Pelodiscus sinensis: one gene and its partner. The protein of the gene in region 2 purifies or fractionates together with the protein of the main gene of each other region. This does not show direct contact. Links are inferred from orthologs where the notes say so. Each region holds a gene or a part of one and is shown on either strand. Other genes may lie near its edges.

Region 1 (15,111 bases), on a different chromosome or scaffold from region 2:
GAATGAACTACCCCAAACTTTATAGGCTCATAATTCTAAGCCATTGGCTGCAAGAGTAAACGATTTATACCAGTTTCTGTAGCATTATGCAAACTGAGTTCACTTCAAAAGCAAAGGATGAAAAGTACTCCCCAATGTATACAGGTTTTTTTTCAAATGCACTGGCAAAAAAACCTCAATTCTGAAGAATGACTGCTCAGTTATTACTTAACAAAAAAAAAAAAAAGTCAAAACCATAATCATTTAAAACTTTGTATTTTATACTTATTTCAATTTGAAATTAAAAAAAAATCTCATAAACAGGTGCTATCCAATGTATTCACAAACACACCAATACAGTATTAAAATATTTTCACCTAAAACGTCTCCCACGCTGCTGGTTCATTTTTGCTCTTGGAGCCACTCCATCAACGGCCATGAAGAAAACCTTTCTTGGTTTAATAATACGAAACAATACTTCCAAGTAGTGGAAAATATCAGCAAAGATCTTATCATCTGAGATTCTGAAGTGAACATCATCATCATTAGGGTGTGAACACTGATGGATGATACCATTCATATCCAGGTACAAGTTGTCAAATTCTGGAATCTAGGAAAAAAGACATTTAATGTTTTACTGATAACGCTTACCAATCACAGACCTAGAAACAGTTGCCTTTGTTCAGTGACAGCAGAAACAACAGAAGCTGTCTTCCAAAGTAGGAAAACCTCAGCAGTTTCTGAGCTGTGTGAGACAAGGGATTTTCCTGGGGACTGATTGTAAACCTAGAGGCGGGGGCATTGGTTAGGTCCAGTTGAGTGTAAAGTAAGGTAAAAGTTGCCAGAAAACCTGAAGATAATGAAAGATATGCAGAGACCATGACCTTGAATGCAAGCAGAGACAGAATTCCTTGGGGCACTGGACTCTGCTAAAAAGCAGGCATGCAAAATGTGAGCAAGGAAGCTGTTCACTATTTGTTCCTACTGTTTTCAGGAAAATGGCATTTTTGCATACATTCTTTGTAAATAAACAGACTTGCACCACAAAAATACCTTGCTCATATAAATAATGCAGCATGGCTCCAAATATTGGCTAGCTGCTTGGGCCAACAGGTACCACCATGTTTTTGTCCAAAAATTTAACACCAACAAGGCCAGTTTGTAAGCAAACATATCCATTTTGTACACACATCTACTTGCTTGATGTTGTAAGTAATCCTAACCATGAGAGTCCCCTGCTAGTTTCTGTAGGATTGTTTGCTCACTTTCTGTGACAACCTATTGTGTTGTTGCTGAACCATCCTCTCACATGGGAAATGTTTTTGGATTTGTGTTCTAGAGTCAGGAGGAGCAGAGTTCTATTTCAGTATTGGCAAACATGAAGTGAAGGAAAAGGTAGAGGCAAGATTAAAAAGGAACTAATACATCTCTAATATCTAGTGTCTTGTTTGTACAGCTGGCTCTGCAATGTATTACACTACAGCTGATGCACAGTGCTCAGTAATTATTTTTATGCGCTTCCTAAAATGGTATTTAGTCCCTCCAATAAAGGACCTAATTTTGCGGTCCAAGTAAAACTGCATATCCAAAGTCCACCACATCCACATGGACACCAGCTCTTCAGTCACAAGAGGATGTGTGTTGCAGTGACAGCACTCTATAAAAGCTCCAAAACTTGGGTGAGCCGCATGACCTTTTCACATGAAGCAGAACATATAGAAGGATAGCAGAGGGCATTTTCTACATATGAAGAAGCATACTTTAATTACATTTATAAATAATAATCTTTGTTTTGCACACAAACTGCCCTTTATCTTCTATCACTTTTTCAGCAAGAGCAAACAGAAGAACAAACAACATAACCCTGTCCAGTAGTGCTCCCTCCCCCTACTTCAAACAAAACAAACCCTGTTACTTGTTGCTTCAGTATTTGAGTAGCTGGCCCAATAGTTTACATCATTCTAGTAGTGTGCGGCTTTGAAATACCCCATCCCTTTCCCCTCCTCCCCCTTGTTGCCTCTTTCTGATACAGGCAGCAGGGGGAGGGCAGTGACTAAAAAAGCATAACTAAAAAACTGTTTGATAGCAGCCCAAGTATGATATGTTTATTTGAATAGCCAATAATGTTAGGCGCCCAATTTGGAAAATGGCCTTAAAGTTTCTAAATTTACATTTAGACACCTAAATGAAAATTGCCTGACTAGAGATGCTGCATGTGAGCACAATAATCAACCAGTCACAAGTGTTTTGATGTGCAGCTATTTGGCTGTATTCTCACCCTCTAACCCTGTGGTCATCAACCAGTTGAGCGCGAGGCGTTCTGGGCCTCCCATTTCCTCCCACCCCCAAGAAGCCCCACTAACTACCTCGAGCAACAATGAAGGTAGTGGCAGCTTCCAGTGGGGTGGAGGAAAGTCCTACAGCTGCGCATCACTTCCAGGGGTTCCAGAAATGCGCTAGCTGTTTCCTTGCCCCAGATCCCTGGCATTCTGGGAACTTACCGGGTAAGTCCCCGGAGGCTTTCCCTTCTCTGCAGAAGGGGGGAGTCAGGCCCAGAAGGAGCGCGTGTGCAGGCTTCCCTGCTCCGCGGGGTGGGTTGGCCCCGAGAGGTCGCATGCGTGGGCTTCCCCCCTCTGCGGGGTCGGCCCCGGAGGGAGCGCGCAATGGAGGCTTCCCTCCGAGGCTGGTGTAGGGGACTCCCTGACCCCATTGGCACCCTGTCCCCGAACCCTGTTCCTGCCCCCCAAACCCTGTTCCTGACCCCTGCCACAGAACCTCGTCCCCCGCCCTCCTGCCCCCCCATTCCCTTCTCCCCTGTCCCCCCTCTGCAGAAACCTGCCCCACCACTGGCACCCTGTCCCCTGCTGCAGAAACCTGTCACCCCCAGCCCTCTGTCCCCCACTGCAGAAATCTATCCCCTACTGCAGAAACCTGTCCTCCTGGCACCCTGTTTCCTCTCCCATGCCCTCAGCCACAGAACTCTGTCCCTCTCCCCTGCTGCAAAAACCTGTTCCCTTGCCCCTGCCCCCAGCTGCAGAACTCTGCCCCCACTGGCACCCTGTTCCCTGCCCCAGCACCCACTAGCACCCTTCCCCAGTACCATGTCCCCTGCTCCCAACTGACTTTTCTGTGCGTCAGTGACCCCTGACTCAAGACAGGTTCCCTGCCCATCTCATAAACAAAGACAATGCAGAAACTTTGTGTGTTTGACACAGTATTTTATTTAAAATGAAGCCTGGCCAACAAACCCCCAATTGGGGCCAAGCCTTCATCTGCCCACAGCCATTCCTGCATTCCCCCTTCCCCTAGACCTGAGCTTATCATACACTGGAACTTCCTGCCCTGAGCCCCTCACATACCTCAACCCAAATTCCTGCACCCTCACTCCACAAGCATCTGGCTTGCTTAGTACCCCAACACTGCCCGGCCTGGAGCCTCCTCCCCGAGCCAGCATCCCCTTCTCCACCTCCTGCTGCATCCAGATTTCCTCCCAGAGCTTGCACCTCTCACCCCTTCCCACACCCAAATCCCTCATTCCCACCCCAGAGCCTACACATCCTGTCTCAACCCAGCAAGGGTAAGGCTAGACTGCAGTTTTTCAGGATTCTGGAGATATCCCAGAAAAACTCTCCTGCATCCAGGAATGCGTTTGTTCTTCCACTTTTTTTAGTGGAAGAGCAAACATGCTCTTCTGGTCACCCCTATATTCCTCTTTCCACGACAAATAAGGGGGCTTCCAAAAGAAGGGTTTTTTCTGACATTTGGTCCAGTCTAGACAGGCCAAACGTTGGAAAAACCTCTTCCTACAGAAGAATTGGAAAAAAAAAAAAGGCAGCAGTATAAGGATTGGGAATAGCAAATGATGGAGAGCAGGAGAATAGAAAGGGGCGGGGCTTCAAGAAACGGGCAGGGAAGTAGATCTTGGCTTGGTCTGTCATTTAAAAAGTGATCTTGGGTATGTAAAGGTTGGAGACCACTGCTCTAACCTTTTCTGCATTGCTCCACAACACGCTCCCACCCCCAAACAGTTAAATCAGTCAGGGTATAAAAAACCCACATCCTGACTGACAGTTATGGTGGCAAAAAACACAGTGTAGTCACAGCTATCTCAACAGAAGAGTGCTTCTGCCAACATAGTTAAGATTGTTTTGGGAGGCAGTGTTCCTATACTGGCAGAAAAACTCCTTAGGGAGGTATGTTAGCACATATACACCGAATAAAGTCTCTCTAGTAAATGCCCAGCCTAAAATTAACTCTTAATTGAAGCTAACTGGGCCAGAAAGTAAAATTCAAGCATTTGCTGGTGGCATAGTGTTCAGCTAAAACAGGTTTTTAACAATAGGACAAAAATAAACATTTAGAAGTACTTTACAAAGATTACTATCAGGCAGTTTAGGAACATTTTTATATTATAGAACAAAAATTAAAAAAAACTCCGAAACAGTATTAATACAAAGGTTTCTATTAAATTAAAAAGAAACAATATAAAAATACATGTGGATTTAAACATATCCCTGATGTTCCTAACCCAAGCTTTGCAACATTGTTTTAGTGTTTAAGAACAAGAAAGTAAAACTGGCCACAGAAAATGTAAAACAGAAATAAAAGTGAAACTGATCAGTTGATTTCCCTTGTTATGTGCAAATTACATGCTATCAAATAAATGAAATCTTTGTTCGACAAGATGGATAAACTAAGATGTTGGACACTGATAAACAATGCCCTCCATTAACTATAACAAAAAACAGGACTATGTAGCACTTTAAAGACTAACAAGATGGTTTATTAGGTGATGAGCTTTCGTGGGCCAGACCCACTTCCTCAGATCAAATAGTGGAAGAAAATTGTCACAACCATATATACCAAAGGATACAAAAAAAAATGAACACATATGAAAAGGACAAATCAAATTTCAGAACAGAAGGCGGATGGGGGGGGAGGGAAGAGAAATGTCTGTGAGCTAATGATATTAGAGGTGATAATCGGGGAAGCTATCTTTGTAATGGGTAAGATCATTAGAGTCTTTATTCAAACTTAAGTGTAAAGCGTCGAATTTAAGCATGAATGACAGTTCGGAGGATTCTCTTTCAAGTGTAATCTTAAAAGGCCTTTGAAGCAGGATGCAGGTAATCAAGTCGTTGAGACAATGTCCTTGCTGATTGAAATGGCAGGAAACTGTTTTTTCTTTGTGATCCTGTCTAATATCTGTTTTATGGGCATTGATTCTTTGGCAAAGTGTCTGAGATGTTTGTCCAATGCTATCATGTGCCGAAAGTGTCCGTCTGCTATGTACGTTGGACAAACGTCTCAGACACAAAGAAAAAACAGTAAATTGAAAAAGCAAATTGGAAAAAAAAAAGCAAATTGAAAGAGCCAGACGAATACCTAGAAACCATCTACTTCAAGACAGACCCAAGAAAACCAACTGTAGAACACCACTTGTCATCACCTACAGCCCCCAACTTAAACCTGTCCAACACATTATCAATAAACTACAGCGTATACTGGAACAGGATACTAAACTCTGAGAGGTTCTGGGAGACAGACCCATAGTCTCCTATAGACAAGCACCTAACCTCAAGATGATTCTTACCAACAACCACAGGACATACCACACTAATACCAACCCTTGTACCTTCCCTTGCAACAAACCCCGTTGCCAGCTTTGTCCACATATTCACTCTGCTGATACCATCATTGGACCTAACCAAGTGAGTTATAAGATCAAGAACACATATTCCTGCGCATCCAGAAATATAATTTATGCTATCATGTGCCGAAAGTGTCCGTCTGTTATGTACATTGGACAAACGTCTTAGACACTTCGCCAAAGGATCAGTACCCACAAAACAGATATTAGACAGGATCACAAAGAAAAAACAGTTTCTTGCCATTTCAACCAGCAAGGACATTGTCTCAACGACTTGATTACCTGCATCCTGCTTCAAAGACCTTTTCAGACCACACTTCAAAGAGAATCCTCCGAACTGTCATTCACGCTTAAATTCGACACTTTACACTTAGGTTTAAACAAAGACTCTAATGATCTTACCCATTACAAAGATAGCTTCCCCGATTATCACCTCTAATATCATTAGCTCACAGACATTTCCCTTCCCCCCCCCCCCCCCATCCACCTTCTGTTCTGAAATTTGATTTGTCCTTTTCATATGTGTTCATTTTTTTTGTATCCTTTGGTATATATGGTTGTGACAATTTTCTTCCACTATTTGATCTGAGGAAGTGGATCTGGCCCACGAAAGCTCATCACCTAATAAACTATCTTGTTAGTCTTTAAAGTGCTACGTAGTCCTGTTTTTTGTTTCAACTACACCAGACTAATACGGCTACATTTCTATCTCCATTAACTATGATTTTCAACCTGTGTCTATCTAAATGATAATTAGCTTAAAAAATCTGTAGCTTATTATTTCAGTAAACAACACAGTGACTACAGCAATACATCTCCCCACTTTCCAATCATTTACTATTTACACATCTACTTTATATTTACTTTTAGCCTACCATCAGTTACTTACAGAGAAGCAGAGTTAGACTCGGGGTGAGCACTTCTGAAAACCCCACCTATATGTTGGCTTCTACATCCAAGTAATACTGTCAAGCAAAACAGCTGCCTTCCAAACGTACCAACAGGGGCTGAACTAAACCTCGGCGCGCCCCGGGAACGAAAGATCGACGCCCAGATGCGGGAAGTCCACACCAGCCTCAGCCGCCCAGCAGCTGCGCCAGCGGAGCCTTATCGGGGGGGCCCGAGTCGGGGCTCGCTTTCTAGCACCGGGCGCTGGGGGGAACCCCCGGGAGCGACCTGGGGCCTTGCGCGGGCGAGGCAAGTCAGCGGAGCCCCGAGGAACCGAGCCCGGAGCCGTTCGCGGTGCCGGGCCCGCCGAGGCGGGGGGACACTCTCCCCGGCCCGAGCGGCCAGGCCAGACGGCGCGAACCCCCCCGCCTCCCGACCCTGCGTCGCTCACCTGATGCTCCTTCAGCACCTGGCTGAGGCAGGGATACCGCTCCGAGACCCACCGGTAGAACTTGGGGACCCCCATGGCCGCCGCCTACTCGAAGCCCGACGGGACCCAACCAGCCCTTCCCCCTCAGCCGGCTTCCTTCCGGCGCGTCCTACTGACAGCCAGGCCGCCCAGCCGCCACAGAGCGCGGCGCAGAGCGGCCCTACAGCCATAGAGAGGCAGAGACAGAGCGTCCTTCCTCGCCCCCTTCTCCCGGCCTAAGGCGGGGGCAGCCCTCCCCGCACGCAGCTCAGCGCGCTCCCGCGGGCAAGCGGCGCCCTGCGCGGACCAGCCGCACAGACCTTCCCTCTCTGTCCCCACGCGCCCCGGCCAGGGAGTCGCAGCGGCAGCGTGTGAAGTCTGGAGCTCGGTCCCGGGGCAGCTGGACCAAGCCTTTCCGCCAGCAGGGACCCCGCGGTGGGGTCCATAAGAGAGCGAGGCTCCTAGGGGCCCGTAGCAAGACACCGTCCCCCCGCTGCTGTGGACACAATGAGCTGTAAGAGTCTGGGAGGAAGATGGGTATGAACGGGTCACCGGTTACCCAGCTTCCCTGGGCCCACCGCGCCACGGGCCGAGGCAGGAACCAGCTCTCCGCTAGCGGGCTCTGCAGTATGCCCGCAGCACATGTAACCATGTAAAGGCACGGTTTTAAAGGGCTTTCTACATCCCTACACATTCATGGCGATTTATATGCAAATAATAGAACTCCCCATTTAAATTAGATAAAATATGTGCAAAGATTAAGGGATTAAAATACAGCCCATTTGATTACTTGTATTCAAATTATGTATTCACCTTGTAATTCCAGGTGGGGATTATTTTGGAGAGGAGGAGAATAAGAACAATATCGATGGAGTATTATTTTCAAATGGTGCTCACAGTCACTAATGGTCATGGAATAATATTTTATGCTATTTGGATTTTTAGTAGAAGGCTATAAATAGTGTTTTTGTGGAGGATGAGAACTTTCTTGAAAAAAGATCCTGAGAATTTTTAGACTAGGGGAGGGATGTAAAAACAAAGTCCAGGTTAAGGAAGAAAATGAAGGGCATGAATTATCTCAATCACTTCAGTGGACTAATTCAAGAAATGCTGTTGTCTTCAGTTGGAGGAGTTTGTGTACTATAAACCTGCCTCTTGGTGACACTCCATACCATGCTTTATTAAGCAGTTTAGACTAGAGCAGAAATGGAGAAGAGAACTTTTTTTTTATTTGGGAGCTGCTGATCCACAGAAACATAAGTCAGGGGCTACACACAAGTGAAAAGCAAAACGAAAACCACCTCACTGACGTGGTCCCCAACGGAGGAGAAAAAGACATTCCCTTCACATGCCAGAGACTAGTGGGACCCAGACTTGTAGATTTTGTGTGCTCTAGTCCCACACTAAAATGATGGGAGGGCTGGTGCGCCAGCACATGCTCCCCGATGCTGGGGGACCAGCCCCGAGGGCTAGATGCAGGCAAACTGGTAGCCACTGGTAGTCGCAGGTGGCCCCCAGGCCTTAGGTTTCCCATCCCTGGACTAGAGGAATTAAAATAGGTCAAATAGGTGCCACTGTTTGATACAATAGTTTAAAATGCCTGGTGCCTTCTCAGCAAGAACAATACTTTAGAGCAGGGGTCTCCAAACTTTTCAGCCCGAGGGCCGCATTAACTATCAAACAGCAGTTCAGGGGCCGACTACACACTTGAGGTCCAAATAAAAAACAATCAAAACATGGATGTTGTTTTTAATTATTTATTTAATATTATTTTATTCAGTTATTATTTAATAACACATTGATACACTACACATGAACACCTGTATTAGTGTGAATGGTGAAATTGTTTCCTGGATGCCAAAATAGCAGACATTTCTGGCTTTAGATTTGTTGTCCCTAACATCAACAGTGACCTGAGATTATCATCGGACAAGTTTGTTCTCAAATTGTTCTTCACATATTTCATTCTTGAAAATGTTTGTTCACACAGGTATGTTGTTCCAAAGATTGAAAGGTACCTTGATGCAAAAGTTTTGACATTAGGAAAGTCTTCCTTGGGCAAAAACTGGTAAAAACCCACCAGTTCTATTTTGAACTTGTCCCTAAGGAGGTCATTTGCTTGCAACTCAATGACTTCCAGCTGCAGTTCATCTGGGCAACTGGCCACATCTGCTTCAAATGGGTTTTGAAACAATCTCACTTCTTCTGCCTTTGAATCCAAGTCAGAAAACCGCTGCTGAAACTGCAGCTGGAGGTCTTTGATGATCTCGCATGCAAATGACGTGGGGAACTCAGCTGTTGCTTCAGCCATGAAGACCTTGCACTGCTGAAAGTGCGTCAAGTTGTTGGCCTGTACTTGTTCCAAAAACAAGACAAGTTTGGATCTGAAGGCCTTTAGGTGGGTGTATAGATCAGAAACTAGATTTTGCTCTCCTTGTCGTTTTAGGTTCAGAAAATTTAAATGACTAGTTATGTCTGCAGCAAAAGCCAATTTCCATACCCACTCTTCATCAGACAGTAATGGCTGTGGCTTGCCTTTACTTTCCAGGAAGTCACCTATTTCCTTTCTTAACTTAAATACTCTGCTCAGAACTTTCTCACAACTTAGCCATCTTACTGCTGTGTAATATGGTAAATCTTGCGATTCTGTGTCTGTATCTTTCAACATGTCTCTGAACTGTCTATGGTTGAGCCCATGTGACCTTATTAAATTCACCATCTTCACCACAGGATTCAGTACACTGCTAATGTCCACATATTTAGCACACAAAGCTTGCTGGTGAATAATACAGTGCAGGAACATTGGTTGTATAATGTTTTTCTCATTACACATCTGCTTCACTTGTCCAACCAAGCCTTTCTTTATGCCACTCATGTTCTTTCCTCCATCAACAGTCAGGCAACTGAGGTTAGTCCAGTCCAAGTTATAATCAGCAAATGTTTTTTTCAACTCATTGAATATATCCTCTCCGGTAACAGTGCCATACATGCTATGTAGGGAAGCCAGCTCTTGTGTTATGTTCATGTCTTCATCCACACCTCTAATGAACACAAGCAGTTGAGAGGTGGAGCAGCTGTCCAGCGATTCATCCATTGCAATTGAAAAATGGCGAAACTTGCTTGCATTTTTCGCTATTTGAGTCACAATGTTTTCACCCATGTCTGCAACACGGCGGGCAATGGTATTCGCACCCAAAGCTACATTTTCAAATTGTTTTGACTTTACTGGGCAAAGTTCCTCAGCCACTTCCAACAAACATTCCTTCACTACTTCACCATCTGTAAAGGGTTTGCCACTTTTAGCCAGGACGTAGGCAACTTTATAACTGGCCTTAGTTAAGGATTCATTTTCATTTGAGGATTTACTGAACAATGTCCTCTGAGATGTGAGTTGATTTTGTAATTTAGAAAATTTTTCGGCACGGACTTTACCCTTCAACTGTACATATTTCTCCTGATGTTTGCTTTGATGATGACGGCGCAGGTTGTATTCTTTCATCACAGCCACGGTTTCGTTGCAAATCACACACAATGCTTTCTCGCCGGATTTGATGAAGAAGTATTTCAAACTCCATTCTTCTTGAAATTGCCGACACTCATAGTCTATTTTTCTTTTCCTCTTCTCGGCCATCGCTGGGCACTAAAATAAAGTGAATTAAACATGAATAAATAATGAAACTGAAAGTATCTTGCACACAATATCGCTCAAAAAACCTGATTATGCGAACTAATTTTGTCGCAATAATAGCTGCAAATGACCCGAAACAATTTTTAAAAATTCTTATGATTTCTTAAGTTAAACTTACCTGAATATAGTGTGCAAATATATCCACTTATGGTAGAGAGATTGTTGCTTTTAATGTTTCCTCTTCAGAATATTCGCCTGCGAATCTGTTTCTCCCGGAAGGGGGGGGGGGGGGGGGCTTTTCCCCCTGCTCTCCCCTTCCTCTGCACGCTGTCCTCCCCTCCTGCTTGCCACCGCTCACTCCTTTCCCCCCCCCCCGGGCGGAAGGGGTCACCTTTTTAAAGTTCCCGCCGGGGTTCACGTTCCCCCGCACGTCGCCGGGCGGGCGTTACCACCACCGCCCATCCTGCCCCCTGATTGGCCGGCTGCCCTGTCAGTCTGGGCGGGGGAACGCCGCCCGTGCTAACCCCCGCCCCCTGCGCCGTTTGCCGCCGCGCGGCCGCTTGTCAGCGGAGCGGCCCGCTTCTCCTGCCCCGGCGCGGCGTGAGTACACGCCGCACACCCCTGACAGGGCCCCCCCCCCCCCCCGCGGCAAGAAGGGCCCGTTCGGCGGCGCCCCAGGGACGGGCGGGGGTCGCCTCGTCACACCGGCACGCGGAAGAAGGCGGGGCCAGACAAAAAGGTCTCCACGGGCCGGATGAGAGGGCCTCGCGGGCCGGATGCGGCCCGCGGGCCGTAGTTTGGAGACCCCTGCTTTAGAGAAACCTAGGTGAGAATGAAGACTGCAAAAAAGCTTTTCATTTTGGAAAATCCTTCTGAAATAGGTACATGAATACAGTTACAAATCCCATTTCAACCATGCGGATACAAAATTTATTTTATATACAATATCTTTTAAAATATCAACTCAGGTTTCCTACAAAAGAAAACTTATATATAACATTTTATAAAGCTAATTTAGACCCTGCTCTGATACAGAAGTGAACATATACATTCATAAATATCATAGATGAGTGTTAATTATACAGGAAATACACAACTGCATCAGGGAGACGACTGTCAATTCTGTTCACTAGTTCATGTATTGTATTCTGTATACATAAAACTGTATAAATACAAATAAAAGTATGTGTCTTCAAACTCAGAATGCAAAGAATTCATTTATATATGTATACAACATACACCGCCTATGTACAACAACTTTACAGTATATATTACATAGGCTGCACATTAAATTGCAATTTAGACATACACAAAATCAGAATCAACAAAAGTGGTAATTTTAGAAAATTCTTCAGTGACTAAGAAAGAATTCAATAACTTTTTGGTTAAAAAAAATTACAGAAGCACAAGTTGTGAAGGCAGTATTTCACATGTACGGAGCCCAGCCCAGGTACATCTGACAGAGCAGGTTCTCATCATTTGCTTCTTGAATGAGGTAATGAACGTGCCCTTCAATAGACAAGGGCAATCCTTTTACCCGGTTCCTAGTCTTAATCACACCCTGAAGCCGCTGTTCTATGTCAAGGACATGAGTCTTTGCCTATAAACAAGAGAAAAAAACCTTACAATTCATATAGCTATGTATTTGTCATATCTGTAATAGAAACATTTCCTGTTCTTCCAAATAAACTTTTGGCCAATTATAGCTTGTATTTCAGATCCCACATAAACAGATTTAATATACAAATATCTATGAACTTTTTCTGAAAACAGTTGGATTTCCTTTTGTCACTTTCTTCATTCTCAAGAACTGCTTGCTTTTTGGACAAGCTATAGCCTTTACATTAACTTTACAACTAGATCTTAAAGATCGAATGAATTATTGCACATCCTCTTGAAGCAGATAGCAATGAAATGTGTTTCATTCTATAAAAATCATTTCATTATCACCGTATATACATGTGGCTCAGTAACAAAGAGCCCACGAGACAACTAATCAAAAGAGCATGTTCCAGAAAATATTCAACCTTCTTATGTTCAGAAAAGCATTTTTTTTTTGTTTTTTTAACTTAAAAATGGTGATGGTGGGGAGGAGGTAGGTTGACTGTTACAACGCAAGCAGGACTGTAAACATTTTCCGCTGAATGTCTTCCGCTGAATGTAAAAAAACAAAACAAAAAAGACTGGAAGTATGGACCAGACTTGAGCCAAAAACAATATTTTGACTAATACTCAACCATGAAATTAGGCAAAATACACAACTATTATCATGAGGTCTTGTCCTTGAATATCATCAGTTACATCATCAACCAATGAGAACTGATTCTCAACTTACAATGAAAGGAGCTCTATATTCTCAGGCATAAAGGGAAACAAGAAGACATTCTATAAATATATTATAAGCAAGAGGAAGACCAAGGACAGGGTAGGCCCATTGCTCAGTGAGGAGAGGGAAACAGTAACAGGAAACTTAGAAATGGCAGAGATGCTTAATGACTTCTTTGTTTCCATCTTCACCGACAAGTCTGGTGAAGGAATGCCTGACATAGTGAATGCTAGTGGGAAAGGGGTAGGTTTAGAAGATAAAATAAAAAAAGAACAAGTTAAAAATCACTTAGAAAAGTTACATGTCTGCAAGTCACCAGGGCCTTATGAAATGCATCCTAGAATACTTAAGGAGCTGATAGAGGAAGTATCTGAGCCTTTAGCTAGCATCTTTGGAAAATCATGGAAGACAGGAGAGATTCCAGAAGATTGGAAAAGGGGAAATATAGTGTCCATCTATAAAAAGGAAATAAAAACAACCCAGGAAACTACAGACCAGTCAATTTAACTTCTGTGACAGGAAAGATAATTAAGCAAGTAATTAAGGAAATCATCTGCAAACACTTGGAAGATAATAAGGTGATAGGGAACAGCCAGCATGGATTTGTAAAGAACAAATCATGTCAAACCAATCTGATACCTTTCTTTGATAGGATAACAAGTCTTGTGGATAAGGGAAAACTGGTGGACGTGGTATACCTAGATTTTAGTAACGCATTTGATATCGTCTTGTATGATCTTCTTATCAATAAACTAGGCAAATACAACTTAGATGGGACTACTGTAAGGTGGGTGTATAACTGGCTGGATAACTGTTCCCAGAGAATAGTTATTAACAGTTCACAAACCTTCTGGAAAGGAGTAACAAGTGGGGTTCCGCAAGGGTCTGTTTTGGGACTGGTTCTGTTCAATATCTTCATCAACCATTTAGATATTGGCAAAGAGAGTATGCTTATTAAGTTTGCAGATGATACCAAGCTTGGAGGGGTTGCAACTGCTTTGGAGGATAGGGTCATAATTCAAAATGATCTGGAGAAATGGTCTGAGGTAAACAGGATGAAGTTTAATAAGGACAAATGCAAAGTGCTCGACTTAGGAAGGAACAATCCGTTTCACACATACAGAATGGGAAGCAAATTGTCTAGGAAGGAGTATGGCAGAAAGGGATCTAGGGGTTATAGTGGACCACAAGCTAAATATGAGTCAACAGTGTGACACTGTTGGAAAAAAAGCAAACATGATTCTGGGATGAACTAACAGGTGTGTTCTGAGCAAGACACGAGAAGTCATTCTTCCGCTCTACTCTGCATTGATTAGGCCTCAGTTGGAGTACTGTGTCCAGTTCTGGGTGCCACATTTCAAGAAAGATGTGGAGAAACTGGACAAGGTCCAGAGAAGAGCAACAAGAACGATTAAAGGTCTAGAGAACATGACCTATGAAGGAAGGCTGAAAGAATAGGACTTGTTTAGTTTGGAAAAGAGAAGATTGAGAGGGGACATGGTAGCAGTTTTCAGGTATCTAAAAGGGTATCACAAGGAGGAGGGAGAAAACTTGTTCTTCTCTGTGGATAGAACAAGAAACAATGGGCTTAAACTGCAACAAGGGAGGTTTAGGTTAGACATTAGGAAAAACGTCCTAACTGTCAGGGTGGTTAAACACTGGAATAAGCTGCCTAGAGTGCCTGTGGAATCTCCATCTCTGGAGATATTTAAGAGTAGGTTAGATAAATGTTTATCGGGGATGATGTAGATAGACAGTACTGGGTCCTGCCATGATGGCAGGGGACTGGACTCGATGACCTCTCGAGGTCCCTTCCAGTCCTAGTATTCTATGATTCTATAATAAGATCACTCATTTATCGATCTCATATATTGTATTACATACAAAAAACTGTACTAAAAGAACATTAAGATCCCAAAGTCAAACTCTTTAAGAGTTAGGAAATGCCAGAATGAAGATTGACTGTATAAGTTTAATTTAGCTCCCTTATACTAACTCAACCCCACTATGATACAGACTTGATTTATATGCTTGATGCTGCACATCAAGGATCAATGGATCCTTTTCCACAGGAGCTCATTTACTGTATATGACAGACCTTTTCTGAGGATCAGTCAGGGTTGTGAAATGAAAGAGGCTTCTCTGTATGGCCCTGCCTCCTTTGTTGCAGA
Region 2 (15,029 bases):
TAGGTATGTGAAAGTAACAGTGTAACCGGTTAACCGATGAACCTCGGCAAACGTTCACGGTTACAGGCTCCCTGTACACGCAGGAAGCTGGCTTAAAAGTCAGCTCCCAGGGACACCAGGTCCCAGGGAGCCGCCTGCCGCCCCCCGCTGCTGCCTCTGTATTAGAGGGAGCAGCCCGGGGCGGCAGGCAGGAGCCAGTACACGTGGGAAGCCAGCTTAAAAGTTGTCTCCCTTTGTGCACCATCTCCAGGGGAATTGATGGTGCCGCCTCATGTGTAACCGCTGAGATTACTTAATGACATGCATTTTAACATCCCGAGCATCTACTACAGGGGTGGGGAACCTATGGCCTGGGGGCCGAATGAGGCCCCCGGCTTGCCTGGATCCGGCCCCCAACGCTCGGGGCTCCCACCCCAGCATTGGGGAGCCCTTGCTGACGATCCAGCCCCCATCCCTGCAGGACGGCACACAGAATCTACTAGCCTAGGCCCTGCTAGGCTCTGATGTGTGAGAATGGGGGAAGTGTCTGTCTCCTTCTCATCAGGGGCCACATCAGTGAGGGTTTATTTGGTTGGTTTTTTTGCTTCTCACTTGTGTGTGGCCCCCAACACAAAAACGGTTCCTCGCGCCTGGTCCTGTACGTGCAGAGAACTACGGACGCTGTTGCATCTACAGCAGCTAAACCCCTGTGCAAGTGGCAAGACAAGCAGCAGTTGGCCTCCACGTACCTATGCGACCCCCACGTTAGCCAGGCACGGAAGGATCACGTTCACCCTTGGTGCAAACTTTCCTCTGCTCCGAGCAGGAGCGCCGCTTTGAGGCGAGGCCCGTCCTCGGCTCTCGCTGTGGAAGCCTGGCCCGGAACACGCTGCCTTTCAATCGGGGGAACCCCGCCCCACTTTGCGGCCAGACGCGTTTCCACACCGCAGTGCTAGGGCTATGGGGTAGCCATCCCCAGCGGAAATGAACGAGCCCCCAAGCCACCCGGCCCCGTGCCGCGACACCTGACAGCCGCTCGCCTCAGCAAAACTTTCTTTGCTTTATTACAGCTGCGTGACATTTTCACTGGACCAGAAAACTGAAAACCTGGGTTATTGTTGCCCTGGCAACAGCTGCTGCAAGGGGCTTGTTGTGAAATGGCTGCTCCTGCACCCACAGGTTACGGCTCTGCTGTCGCCGCGCTGGAGAGCGCACTGAGCTCAAACGCAAAGCCAGCCACCAACGGCAGGGCCTCGGGAAGCAAGACCAGCGTCCCAGCGACCAAACGGGGCGGTTAACTGCATCAGGGACAGCAGCTCACGCGGCCACCTGAAGAAGTAACTGAGATTCATTGGGAAGAATGCATGTTTGGACAGAGACGCTAGAGCAGAGGCTGCACGGTTCACAGCCCAGAAACAGACCCGCGACAGTAACCGGCCTTCCGGAGAGCAGACGGCAGCGACGTTCGCCCTGCCCACAGAACGGACTGCACTCCTAGCAAGGGGAGGACTGCAGCGACTACAGCTGCCCCAGCAGCAACATGAAACGGACGCAGTCCTAGCTGGTTTTACTCTGCCCTTCCCAGCTGTGCCTTCAGGAAAGGACCTTGCTGTGGCAAGGGAGGCTTCAAAGGAGGGAAAGTCTCTGCTCTCTCTCTGCCCAGAGGTAGTGGAGGTTCACATGCAAGCAGGCAGAGCAGCATACAGCAATGGGGGCCGTGGCCGGCTGGCACAGAGACCTACCACAGCACCTCAGAGTAGAGGGTCACGTTTAGCTCCGTGGGTAGCTGAGTATACCCAGCTCCTGGGGACTCGTGTGTGCATGGGGAGGGAGGCAGCGTCACTCTAGCAACCACATCACCAGGAACGAGCATTATCCTGAATTACTACGCCCTTCCCCATGGCTTCAAGGAGAGACGGGCATTCACCCCCATCTTGCAAAGAAAGGAAAGACTCCGATCACACGCTGGGCGTTCGTCTCACCTCCTCGCCCAGGACGGTTCCTGCGGCCCCGGCAAGGGACCACCGCTTTGTGTGATATAGAGGCTCACGTTGAGGCAGCTCTCTGAAAGAGGGTGACGGGCTGGTGTGCTGCTTCTCGCCGGCAGTGGCTTGGGGAAGGAGCGGGAGGAATGCTACCCGGTTCTCTCGCAAAGGCTGAACACACTGGCACCGCTGGCAGCAGCGGGCACGCGTCAGGCAAGAGGCTGCCAAGGTAGGCTGGGAGATGGGGAGACGAGACAGCACTGCTGTCCTGGAGGCCTCTCCCAAAGACCAGGCGGCAGCTTCCGGGAAGAGCCCCTCACAAAGCGTCCAATTGGCCGAAGGACTGAGATTGGACAGGGCTGACAGAGCAAGAGGAAGGAACGACAATCAATGGAGCTGTGAGAGCCTGAGAGCCCATCACCACAAAGGCAAAGGGGAGACAGTAACTTGTAACTAGCCCTGGGGAAAACCCAAGTACAAAGCTAGGACAGGACAGCTCTTCCCGGCAGTAGAGATCCCCTTCCCAGCGCTGACCTAGCCCATCGCTGGAGCTCCTCAGACCGCTATGAGGGGAAGGAATCTCTCAAGCAGCGACGCTTCCTGCTCCCCTTCCCGCAAGTTCGCCTCCGCCCTGATGAGGATCGAAAAGCGTCTGGAGGCCCAAGCAATAACACTAGCCCATTCCATCCTGGTCCGTCTAGTTCTTTAAACTCCCGTTACTCTCTGCTGCACAGGCAATGCCTCCAGCGCCGAGACTAGGCATGGGAACGGGCAACTGATTACCCGGTAAGCATCCCCCTTAAAGGCCACGGGTCGGAAGCAGCCGGGCCGCAGCAGCCTTCACCTGCAGGCCGCTCCAGCCCGACCGTGGGGGCGCCCCCACTTACCCCCATTTAATCAGTCAACCAGTGAAACTTAACGTTGAACGGGTGAACTAATTCAACGGGATTTGACCTCCCTAATCGAGACCGGCTGCAACCATGTGACTGCCACCGTTTGCCACCTCCACCTCGTTAAGACGGGCCCAGTGGTTACTCGCCCTCCAAGTTCCACACAACTTCCCAATTCTGCGCCGGCTTTGGCTCCCCGCACTGGGCTGGGAGGCCACCGCCCTCCCCCTCGGGACAGAGTGCAAGGAAGCCTGCGGGTGTGGAAAGCCCGGCCACCTAGCACCCGTTCCGGTAGCTACAGGGCGAGCTGCCTTTGGCAGGAGGGTGGGGAAGACTTGCCTTGCTCAGGCTACAGGAGGATCCCTAGAGAAGAGCAGCCGGGCGGATGTAGCTCTGCACCCGTGAGCGACCTGTGGGAGTGCAAAGCTGCCCTTTCTCCACTCCCTCCCAGGAGTGCGAAGAAGGAAAGGGCAGAGGTCAGCGTGGCAAAGGAATCGTTCCGGGCCACGGAGCAGCCAATTCGAACATGCAAGGGTTCCTCACAACCCATTACTCAGGAAGCAATTCTGACCAGCAACTTCTAGTCCAGCAGCCGGCATTGAGATGTAGAAGAGCTTCGGGAAAGAGCAACAAGGGAGAGGAAAGGGGGTGTGAGAAGGTATGGAGACCCTCAGAGATCAGATAGACAAGCACAGCCCATGAACAAAGATCTGGTGGACTCCCACCAGAAGCTGCCAAGTCCCCTAAGCTACAAGAAGCGGTTGTTTAAACGCAGGGTACGTCTAGCCTAGGAACACTTGAGGGGCGTCAGAATAGCAGGATCCTACACTGGCCAAGCATCCCTAACGTGGACACAGCTCCCCAGTAAAATTGTGCTACGCACTGGGGCTGGAAAACTACTCAGAGGAAGGAAACAACCCATCTCCTCACAAGAGCCAGTAACTGCGTCTCCATGAGGGGCTCCTGCCAGCATAGCTGTCCAGTTAAGGATCACACTTCTACGCTGGTCTGTAGGGCAGAGCTGGGCCCTGTCTGTTCCTTTCCAAGCATGAGTCCATTCTAGACCGGCAACATCCGTGATCCGGCAGGATTTTAGCCAGATGTCTACTTAGCATGGGTGTGGCCAAGATTCCCCACAGTCAAATAAAGTTTGTTTACAGCCACCGGTCCTGGCTCGCAGGGTTCTGGGCTGTTATTTAGCTCGAATTTACCCTTAAATGTCTTCCCCTGCTTGCTGGGCTCCGAGAAGCGTTGGCAACGCTGCTAGACCATACTGACCTCCCATGGTTCAGCAAACTCTCTAGTTCGGCACCGGTCAGGTCCTGAAGGTGTCGGACTAGAAACATTCAACCTATATTAGAAGAGGTAAAAAAGCCTCACCCTGGCCAGTGGCACAGAACACATGGAAGCAACGCTTCCCCAGAGAAAAGAAACTGATCACTCAACACAACCCCCAGCAGGGACGTAGGAACCTAACAGGCAGGGGCAGATTTCACAGAGGGATTATTTGCTTCCCCCTTTAAGGAGAAAATGAGACTTGTGGCAGGACCAGCTTTCCTATCTGGATGAGAGGGAGTTAAGAGACTTGGATACCTAGAGAGAGAGAGTAGCCAGCTCAGACAACCCAGCTGAGAACCTGAGGTTAGAAACGGGTGACATCTGAGCTGTTGATGGAGCAGTGCCGGTCTATGCTGATACTGCCCAGAAAACAATCTATGGAGACAGCTGCGAGCGATTGCTTTTGGATCGGAAGAGCAAACACTCCCCGTCCCAGAACACGGGACGATCTTCAGTCAAATGGCAGCTCTAATGCAGAGTTTCTTTAGGTTACGAATCCAGCCAAATAATTAGAGTACAGGCAGTCCCCGACTTACGTCGGATCCGCACTTACGAACAGGGCTTTCTCGCCCCGGAGCTCGCAGGCAGCGGGACCGCCCAGAGCGCAGCGGTCCCGCCACCTCGACCTCCGGGGCGAGAAAAGCTGCTCCGGGTGCCCCTGGTCTGCTGGGGACCGTCTCCAGCAGACCAGGGACACCTGGAGCAAAGCCGGGGAGGCGGAGGGGTCCTGCGCCTCTGAGGCTTTGCTCTGGCAAAGCCTCAGAGGCGCAGCACCCCGCCACCGCTGCGGCTTTGCTCCCCGTCTCCCTGGTCTGCTGGGGGGGGGGGGGGGCACAGCTAGTGCCCCCCCCCAGCAGACCAGGCTTTTGTTGTGGACCCTGGGGTAGAGCAGCTGGGGTGCTGCCGGGTTGGTCCTGCAGGGACCTACCTGGCAGCCCAGCTGTTCTGTCCCAGGCTCAAGATTCAGCCGCTGTTGAAACTGATCAGTGGCTGATTCCAGGAAGCTGGGGGCAGAGCAATTCTGCCTCCAGCTTCCTGTAGTCAGCCCCTGGTCAGTTTCAGCAGCAGCGGCTGAATCTGGAGCCAGTTCCGACTTACATACAAATTCAACTTAAGAACAAACCTATAGTCCCTATCTTGTACGTAACCTGGGGACTGCCTGTAGTAAGAAAAACTCTCAAACAACTGGAACAGCGGGGTGAGGAGGAAAAACAAATAAGCTAGTGAAGTCCGTTAAGAAGCTCAAGCCAACCTTCATCTGACCTCTACAGTCAGAGCCCTGCAAATCTGCAACTATCCACGGCTCACCTTTGAGGATACAGACGTGGATACAAATTTTGAATCCATACAAGGCTCTACCGATAGTCCCTTGCTCACCCTTCCTCTCCCGACAACCCCCACCTGCCCTCTTACTACAGCAAAGAAATAGGGATGTAATAGTGCTGTTGATTAACTGATTAACTATAGACTACACGCATCCCCCACCCCCCGCCAGTAAATTTTTTAGCAGGCTGGCCAGCAGCCGGCTCATTCCTCCCTTGCAACGGGTCTGGGACCTACGCCTGCTGCGGCTCTGCATTTAAAGTGTACTAGGAGCCAGGTGGGCAGCAGACCCATTCAGTTCCGGCTTGTGCTGAGCTCAGCTCCCTCCTGGACAGGGGCCAGTGCCATCCTGTGCTGCTGCCTCTGTGTCAGAGGCAGCAGCTCGGGGCGACAGGCAGCTGGTCCGTGAGGGGAGCTGGTTTTTAGACTGGCTTCCCTTGAGGACCAGCTCCCGCCTGGCACCCCGCGCCGCTGCCTCTGATACAGAGGCAGCAGTATAGAGTGGCAGGGGGCTCTTCAGGAGTGGGACCAGAGTGCACTGGCTGTCAGCCCCGCCCCCGGATACTACAGAATAGTCCAGTAGCTGATAAGAATTCATGAGGTTACTTGACTATTCAATTAACCGATAGTTACCATCCCTACTCCTACAGCCCACAGGTGGAGATTAATAAGCATCCTTTGGCTCATACCAGGAAAGCTGAAACAGAAGGCCTCCCTGTACAAACCAGGAGGGCAGTTGTTTCCAGATTACTTGGACAATCGGAAGCTTTTGCACGTCAGGGACACTAATGGTCAGCTCTACACCACTAAACAGAAGCGTTGTACAGAGAGCGAATCCAGCAGGGTTGACTGTGCAGTCAGCCCACCCCCACGTGCCTACTACCATCTTCCTAAAATGGTGCGGGAATTAGATGAGCACATCAGACGACGCCCGCAGTCGCTCGAAGGCCCTAGCTGGCAGCTGACTATTAGAAAACAGAAGCCGATACAACCCTTTGCCAAACCAGCGCTCTTCACTTACATACCCAACCAGAGACTGAGGAGAGAACGTAGCTGGAGAGGCTAGAAACCTGATGAGATTACGCCGGATCAGGCGTTTGGGAACCGTCCCTCGCTGATTTTAACATTCACAGGATGCAGAGTCACTCGCATGGGCAGCCACATCTGCACCTGCACAACGCAAAGCTATCAAAGAGCCACATTGGGACCGCGAGGAGCTCCGCTCCGACAGGGCTCCGACGTGAGCGTCTCAGCTGCACAAAGGAAGCTTCACTGGGCCTCCCACACCCCATGGCAAGCGCAACACACACACACGCTTCGCCTCGCTGCGGCCCACCCCAGCAGGTGAACAGGGGTCCCGGGGCTGCAGGGAGGCAGACTGAGGGCAACCTTGATTTCAGTCTGGCGCCAAGGCCCACAGAAACCCTGGCTCTGTATGGATCAAGACAGCACCCAATATGCTGGGATGGAGTCAGAGTCTAAGCACACGGTGCCCAGCCCAGGAGTGGAGCAGCGCAGGCCAGGAATCCAAGGGTGCTCCTGTCCCAGACGCCACGATACCGAGTACTACCCAGATGTTGGAACTGTTTCCCAGAGAGGCGTGTGGCTGCCGTAGCATGGCTAGGCAGAGTTTAGCTGGAAATGGCTGGGGCTTTGGAGGTGCAGCAGGTGCAGATGTACAGTTAAGATCTTATTAATTATTGTGATCTCATTTGTATTACTGTAGCACCTAGAAGCCTTCACTGCATGCATCAGGATCCCTCACTGTGGTAGGCACAGAACGACGAAACAACCCCCGCCCCGAGGAGCTTACAAATGCCATATAAAATGAGAGAGAACAGCGGTATAATACAGACGGGGGAGGGGAGGGGGAGGAGGTACAAGGAAAACCATGAGACAAGCAAGGCTCTCTGCACTCCAGCAGCCTTGCAGTCACCAAGTTCCCTGCTGAGAGTCAAGGAGAGATTTGACGGCAGGATAATGAGGTCGCTGAATGGGGTGTTCAAAGGGAGCACCCCCCCCCCCCCGGTGGTGATGTGGGGAGAAGCACAAAGGTGTCTGAAAATGTAACCTGCCCGCGATGGGAACGGGCCTGGCAGGACTGGACGGTGGCGGGGGGGGGCTGGGAGGGTGGGGGGGGGGCTGTCAGGAGTGGACAGTGGCGGGGGGGGGGGCTGGCAGAACTGGACGGTGGCGGGGGGGGGGGCTGGGAGGGTGGGGGGGGGCTGTCAGGAGTGGACAGTGGCGGGGGGGGGGCTGGCAGAACTGGACGGTGGCGGAGGGGGGCTGGGAGGGTGGGGGGGGCCTGTCAGGAGTGGACAGTGGCGGGGGGGGGGGCTGGCAGAACTGGACGGTGGCGGAGGGGGGCTGGGAGGGTGGGGGGGGGCCTGTCAGGAGTGGACAGTGGCGGGGGGGGGGGGCTGGCAGAACTGGACGGTGGCGGGGGGGGGGGCTGGGAGGGGGCCTGTCAGGAGTGGACAGTGGCGGGGGGGGGGGCTGGCAGAACTGGACGGTGTTGGGGGGGGGCCGGGCAGGACTGGGGGGGACACGCGGGGCTGGCTAGGCGGAAGATCCAGGGTCTCCCCGCACGAGGCCGAGCCCGAGCCCGGGGGGGGGCGGTCCCGGCGCGCTCCCGTCTCCCAGAGGGGAGCGAGCTCCCGCCTCGGCCCCTGCGGCAGCCCCGCCCCCGGCGCGCGCGCACGGAGGCGGGGAGGGAGGGGGCGCGGCGGGGCGGGGCCGGGCGCGCCCTCACCCGCCGGCCGGTCCAGCTTGAGGATGTCCCGCAGGTGCTGGGTCGCGTCCTCGATGTCGATGCTGGCGGAGGCCATGGGCCCGCTTCCCGCTCTGCCGCCCCGCTCCCGAGCCCGGCCCGCCGACTCCACTTCCGCTTCCGGTCCGGCCGCCGCCGGCCCCCGCGGAAACCAGCCCCGGGCAGCCGCGTTCCGGCCGAGCCAGGGCCGGGGGCGAGACCCCCCCCCCCCCGAGCGCCATGTGGGAGGGGCGCGGCCCGCAGGTGCTGGGCGGGCTGTTGCTATGGGGCAGGGGGTATTGTTTGGGGTGGGGTGTTGTCAGACGGGGGCTGTTGCTATGGAGTGGGGTGTTGTCAGACGGGGGCTGTTGCTATGGAGTGGGGTGTTGTCAGACGGGGGGCTGTTGCTACGGGGCAGGGGGTATTGTTTGGGGTGGGGTGTTGTCAGACGGGGGCTGTTGCTATGGGGTGGGGTGTTGTCAGACGGGGGCTGTTGCTATGGAGTGGGGTGTTGTCAGACGGGGGGCTGTTGCTACGGGGCAGGGGGTATTGTTTGGGGTGGGGTGTTGTCAGACGGGGGCTGTTGCTACGGGGCAGGGGGTATTGTTTGGGGTGGGGTGTTGTCAGACGGGGGCTGTTGCTATGGGGTAGGGGTATTGTTATGGGGTGGGGTGTTGTCAGACGGGGGCTGTTGCTACGGGGCAGGGGTATTGATATGGTGGGTGAGGGACTGTTATGGGGTGGGGGTCCCATTAATGGGGGGCTGTTCTGGGGGTGCCATTACATAGGGCAGGGTAGGGGGCTGTTACGGGTGCAGACGACCTTGGGAGAAGAGGGGTTGACGGTATTGTTGCGGGGTGAAGCTATTGGGAGTCGGGGGGACAAGCTCTTGCCTCGTTTCCCTCCTGTGCAGGTGCCGTGCTGGGGCTCCTACCGCACTGCTCCTGGGAGAGATGTTGCATCCAGGCTCCCACCTGGAGGCAGCTGCTGTACTGCCCCCGTGGAGACGTGATCTGCAGCTCACTCGTGTTAATCCAAATCTCTGCACTGGGCCTTGCACTGCGAAAGCAGCACCTGCCTGGACGGGCCTTGGCCCATCCAGCTCAGGGGTCTTTCAAGACCAGCAGCGGCAGCACCTAAGCCCCTTGGGGAAATTCTGGTACCATGTCAAAGAGAATGTTGGGTCCTTTCCTTGCTTCTGAAGGGCCACTCATGCATCTAGGGCACATGGGGACCTAGGCCATCTGACTCAGGCTGGGGCCATAAGATTGCAGCGTAGCCCCACAGGCTTCAAGTGGAGTCTGCACTCTGGTACCCTCCCCACCCCCCGGGGACTCAAAAGCCGGGCTCCAACCCAAACCCAACTGTCCACATTGCTGTGCAACAGCCCTACAGCACAAAACCCTGAGTCTGCTGCCCCGGGCCAGCCACAGCTCTTAGTGCACTGCAGACATACGCACAGGATTTGGCTGAACTAGGGAGAGAAGTCCCAGGGTTTCCTCCCTGGTTTCTACCTTGACTTAACCATGAGAATTTCTCCGCTGCAGTCCCATCTTGTCTTGATTTCGCTGGTCAGGGAGCAACTAGTTCAGTGATTTTCAAACTTTTTTTCTCATGACCCAGTCGAAGAAAATTATTGATGCCCGCAACTCAACTGTGGAGAGTAAGAGGGGGCTCTGGCTTTGGGGTATTGGGCTGGGGCAGGAGGGGCTTACCTTGAGCGGCTCCCGGTCAGCGGTGCAGCAGGGGTGCTAAGTCAGCTTCCTGCCTCTCCTGGCTCTGAATCATCAACTCACAGGGTTGAAAGAGAAAAATCAAGCCCAGTCCCTTGCCCAAAGCAGGACCAACCCCAACTAAATCATCCCAGCCAGGGCTCTGTCAAGCTGGGACAACCTCTAGGGATGGAGATTCCACCCCCTCCCTAGGGAACCCATCCCAGCGCTTCTCCACCCTCCTAGGGAAATAGTTTTTCCTAATATCCAACCTAGACCTCTCCCACTGCAACTTGAGCCCATTGCTCCTTGTTCTGCCATCTGCCCCCACTGAGAACAGCCTCTCTCCATCCCCTTTAGAATCCCCCTTCAGGGAGCCGAAGGCTACCAAATCCCCCCTCACTCTCTGCTTCTGCAGACTAAACAAGCCCAGAACCCTCAGCCTCGCCTCGTAGCCCCCCTACTTATATTGGTTGCTCTCCGCTGGACTCTCCCCAATGTGTCCACATCCTTTATGTAATGGGGGGCCCAGAACTAGATGCAATACTCCAGTTGTGGCCTCACCAGTGCTGAATAAAGGGGAATAATCACTTGTCTAGATCTGCTGGCAATGCTCCTCCTAATGCAGCCTAATATGCCATTAGCCTTCTTGGCTATAAGGGTACACTATTGACTCATATCCAGCTTCTCATCCACTGCAATCCCCAGGTCCTTTTCTGCCGAACTGCTACTTAGCCAGTCGGTCCCCAGCCTGTAACTATGCTTGGGATTCTTCCGTCCCAAGTGCAGGACTTCGCACTTGTCCTTGTTGAACCTCATCAGATTTCTTTTGACCAAATCCTTCACTTTGTCTCGGTCACTCTGGACCCTGTCCCAGCCCTCCAATGTATCTACCTCTCCCCTTAGCTTAGGGTCATCTGCAAACTTGCTGACGGTGTGATCCATCCCCTCATCCAGGTTATTAATAAAGATGTTGAACAAAACCAGCCCTAGAATGGATCCTTGGGGCACTCTGCTAGAAACCGACTTCCAGCCAGACATCAAGTCAGCATTCTCTCCACCTTACAGTCCATTTATCCAATCCAGACTTCCTTAACTTGCTGGCAAGAATATTGTGGGAGACTGTTTTAAAAGCTTTGCTAAAGTCGAGGTCTATCACATCCACTGACTTCCCCCTGTCCATAGAGCCAGGTACCTTGTCATAGAATGCAATCAGATTGGTCAGGTATGACTTGGTCTTGGTGAATCCATGCTGACTATTCCCGGTCACTTTCCCCTCTTCCAAGTGCTTCAACATGGATTCTTTGAGAATCCCTTCCATGATTTTTCCAGGGATTGACATGAGGCTGACCGGGCAGTCTGTAGTTCCCTGGATTGTCCTTCTTCCCTTTTTAAAAGATGGGCACCACATATGCCTTTTTCCAAGCACCCGGGACCTCCTTTGATCGCCACAAGTCCTTGCAGAGCCTTTGGAAACATCTGCCAACTTCCTCAGCACCCATGGATGCATTAAATCCAGCCCCCTGGATTTGTGTATGTCTAGCTTTTCTAAATAGTTATCCTGTTCTTTTTCCACTGAGGGCTGCCCATCTCCTTCCTATACTATGTTGCCTAGTACAGTAGTCTGGGCGCTGACCTGGTATGTACTAGGGATGCTAAATTTCGATTAATTAACTAATCAAAGTGTCAATAGGATTTCCATTGACTATTTGATTAGTCGAGAACTGCCACGTTCCGCCTTTGAAACGTCCCCCGCGGGGGCTCTTGTTCATTTCAAAGTGGAAGCACTGGACAGAGCCTGGGGCTGAGGCTCCGTAACAGGGCCGGCCCCGGAGGCACCACTACCATGGCCATGTGGTCTGGAGCTATCCCCAGAGGCTGGAGACACCCGGCCATGGCAGCACCTCCAGGGCCGGCCCCCGACCGCCTGGCCACAGTAGCGGCATCTCCAGGGCTGGCACAATGGCCGTGGTAGTAGCACCTCTGGGGCCAGTCCCAGACTGTGGCACCTCTGGAGTGGCCTGGGGCCACGTGGCTGCAGTGCCTCTGGGGCTGGCCCCAAGCCACATGGCCATGGTAGCAGTGCCTCTGGGGCGGCCTCTGTCTGTGGTGCCTCCAGGACCTGCCCCGGGCTGCAGCACCTCTGGGGCAGCCTGTGCCCATTGGCCCCAGAGGCTGGCCCCAGGCTGTGTGCCTTGGGGCTATCCCTGGATCGCATGGCGGCAGCCATTGTTGCAAGGGGGCACAAAGCCAGGTAAGGTTCTTCCTCATGTCCAGACCCCCCACCCCAATCCCATCACTTCCCCATCCCAAGATCTAGAACCCCTCCCCAAGATCTAGAACCCCCAACTTGCTCCAATCCCCTCCCTTGTCCCTGCTCCTTCCTCCTGGCCACACACCCTACTCCCAGCCTGCTTCTGCACCCTTGTTCCCACCCAGATCCTGCACCCCATTCCTACCTCACTCGCTGGCAGCCCTGTCTCACGCACTGTACTCCTCATTCTTGTCCCTATCCCAGAGCCTAAGGAGGTCCATAAAATCCACTAACTCCAGAACAGTAAATCTGGTCTATGGGAAGCCCAGATTTTTTGGAGGGGAGGTCAGTAACCCCAGGCTCAAAAAGGGTTCCTCACCTCTCCCATAACGAAAACATTGAAACCTGTTGTGTTGGACATAACATTTTACTTTATTTAAAACAAAGTTTGATTAACAGGAGAAAGTTAAAAACACTGGTAGCACTTTATAGACTAATGAAATATGTAGATGGGATCATGAGCTTTTGTGGGCACAGCCCACTTCTTCAGATGACCAGAGTTATGAATTGGGGATATGAAAACTCCAAATAAATAGGAGAGGGGAAGGGGAGAGGAGAGGAGAGGAGAGAGAAAGAAAAAGGGAGGGGAGTGGGAAACAGAGCATCATTAAAAATCTGGAGAATGGGTACTTAAACCAAAGCAGATAAAAAAAAAAAATCAAAGTCAATAGACAGATTCCTAAGACAGGAAGGATACCACTCAGGGAGCTGTTAGCACCTTCAGTGGTTATTAAGTAGGTAATCTATTTCATAATTTCAATTAAACTGTTCTCCCTAGCTGCAGCTGGTTCAGAAAATAAGGTCACCGCACCCAGCAGGGTAATTCTCAACTTCACTCCTTCCGCCTGCGGGCCCTCCCCTTCCGGGGCAGCCCACAGCCACTTCCGAAATTTGTGAAGTGGCCCCTCTTCCAGAATTATTGCCCCTGCCCCTACAAAAGCTACATTCAGACGCAGGCAGGGTCTCAGCTGCATGCAGGCAGCACTTGCATCACTTTCCAGCTGGGCAACAGAGAAGGCATCAACAGCGCAAGGCTTCCTTTCCTGCTGCCGGCTGGGTCACGGATACCCGAGTGCGTGTTCTTCCTTTGGACTCCCAGCTGGGGGATCTGGCGACTGAGTAAACGGCCTGAAATTCATGACAAGAGCCTGGTGTGGAGGGGTTTGATGTGCCCACGCGGGAGAAAGCCTTTTATTTACACTGGGTTTCTCAGCGCCCATTGCAACAGGTGGGGGGATGGGGGAATAAAGCCGGGGTCTCCAACTCCCCATCCCAGCTGGAGTGATTGTGCAATCTGGCTCAGCCCTCCCAGGGGACCTGTCTTCTCAGCCCTGAGCCCCACCCCTTCCTGCCATTGTCCCACCCTCTTCCCCCAACCTGCAGCTCCTGCCCCCCAGGGAAGTTGCAGGGGAGGGGAGGCATGATTGCTGCCACTGCGTGACGCTGGGTCCCTCCCAAAGCCACATGCTCTGGGGACAGGGTGCTATGGAGGGGGGAGAGGAGTGACAGGCTTGGGGGCTGGCAACAGGCCCACTAGGAGTCCTCGTGTTGCGCAATCGCACAGGCCATGAGTTTGAGCCCCCCCCCGCAGGTAAAGGGTGGCAGTAGACTGACACTTACGGATTGTGGCGCAGAGATGTACAAACAAGGAGAAACGGAGGTGACGTGTTTGGGGGGACCTGCCGATGGCACGTTGAGAGATCCGAGCTGCTTTTTAACGCTGCGGTGAATCCCAAGACTTTGATCTTCCCCTTGCGCGTGATCCTTAGAGATGCTGTTTCACCCCAACGAGAAGCTTTCCTTGGGTCACAGTCAAATCCAGGCAGTTCCTCCCCTGCCTGGGACGGGACCCCACAGCGCCCTTCGTCCAGCAGCAGGGTTATAGCCACATTCCAGGCTTGGGCCTTGCACTTCGGCTGCACCGTCACACGGAATACACCCTCCCTTCGGGCCACTCTTTCGGGACCAACAGGAGATGGGATGCGAGTCCATGGCAGCAGAACCGTCAAATGATCCGATTCAAGACACCCCGCCCCCACGCATCCACCCCATCAGTGTGAAGGCAGCCTGTGAAAGCTGGCAGCTGAGAGGAATAACGGAACGGCCTGTCATGCACTGCTGGCTGAAAGCAGCTGGCTGTCACCACTCGGATTTAGGAGATGTCACCTAATACACTTAGGTAGGCCCGAGATCTTTGTTCAAATCCCCTGCAAAGCGCCATAGCCCTATAAACTCAGCTTGTGAGGACAGGACAGACATTCAGGCCCGCCCCCCTTGCGAGCAGGGCACTGGTTTAGTCCAAGTCCCCGAGGCCGGTTTCCTGCTTAGCAGCCAAGTGGGTGGGATGAGCTATTTCACACCCAAGGGCAGGAGTGCTTTAATTAAGCTGAGCTATTCTGTACTCTTCCCCCCCCCCCTTCCAACTTCCTAATTTTTCCATTATTAGGACCCAGCCAGCCCTGATCTAGTCTGCACGTGCTTGGCTTGAGCCCAAGCAAACAATGTTTGTGAAAAATCTTTATTGATTAACACACTGGTCACAGGTACAATCAGAACAAGCCATCATCGTACAGTACAGTTACACTGAATGTATCATCTTATTCCACACAGCTGACTTGGAGAGCGCCGTAGCCTTGCGGGTCAGTTTAAGACACGTTGTCGTCTGTAAATACACAGAAGTCCTGCCTTGAAGCACTGGGTAAACTATCATTCAACCACCGAAGCAGGGCTGTTTTTTCC

Evidence for each region.
Region 1: the proteins of EDC4 (region 2) and XRN1 purify together in Homo sapiens (co-immunoprecipitation; 4 studies listed by BioGRID and IntAct, with this or other methods). This does not show direct contact. The link is inferred for Pelodiscus sinensis from reciprocal best matches to the Homo sapiens genes EDC4 and XRN1.

The regions. Positions count from the first base shown.
Region 1 is NC_134720.1:21,384,497-21,399,607, forward strand, and holds the start of XRN1 (5'-3' exoribonuclease 1), read right to left. Parts: upstream 7,291-15,111; 5' UTR 7,044-7,290; coding exon 6,969-7,043; intron 590-6,968; coding exon 357-589; intron 1-356. Other genes in the region: serine/threonine-protein kinase ATR, read right to left, coding at 12,041-12,214. UniProt on the Homo sapiens protein: Major 5'-3' exoribonuclease involved in mRNA decay. Required for the 5'-3'-processing of the G4 tetraplex-containing DNA and RNA substrates. The kinetic of hydrolysis is faster for G4 RNA tetraplex than for G4 DNA tetraplex and monomeric RNA tetraplex.
Region 2 is NC_134722.1:46,921,083-46,936,111, reverse strand, and holds the start of EDC4 (enhancer of mRNA-decapping protein 4), read right to left. Parts: upstream 8,424-15,029; 5' UTR 8,344-8,423; coding exon 8,268-8,343; intron 1-8,267. UniProt on the Homo sapiens protein: In the process of mRNA degradation, seems to play a role in mRNA decapping. Component of a complex containing DCP2 and DCP1A which functions in decapping of ARE-containing mRNAs. Promotes complex formation between DCP1A and DCP2.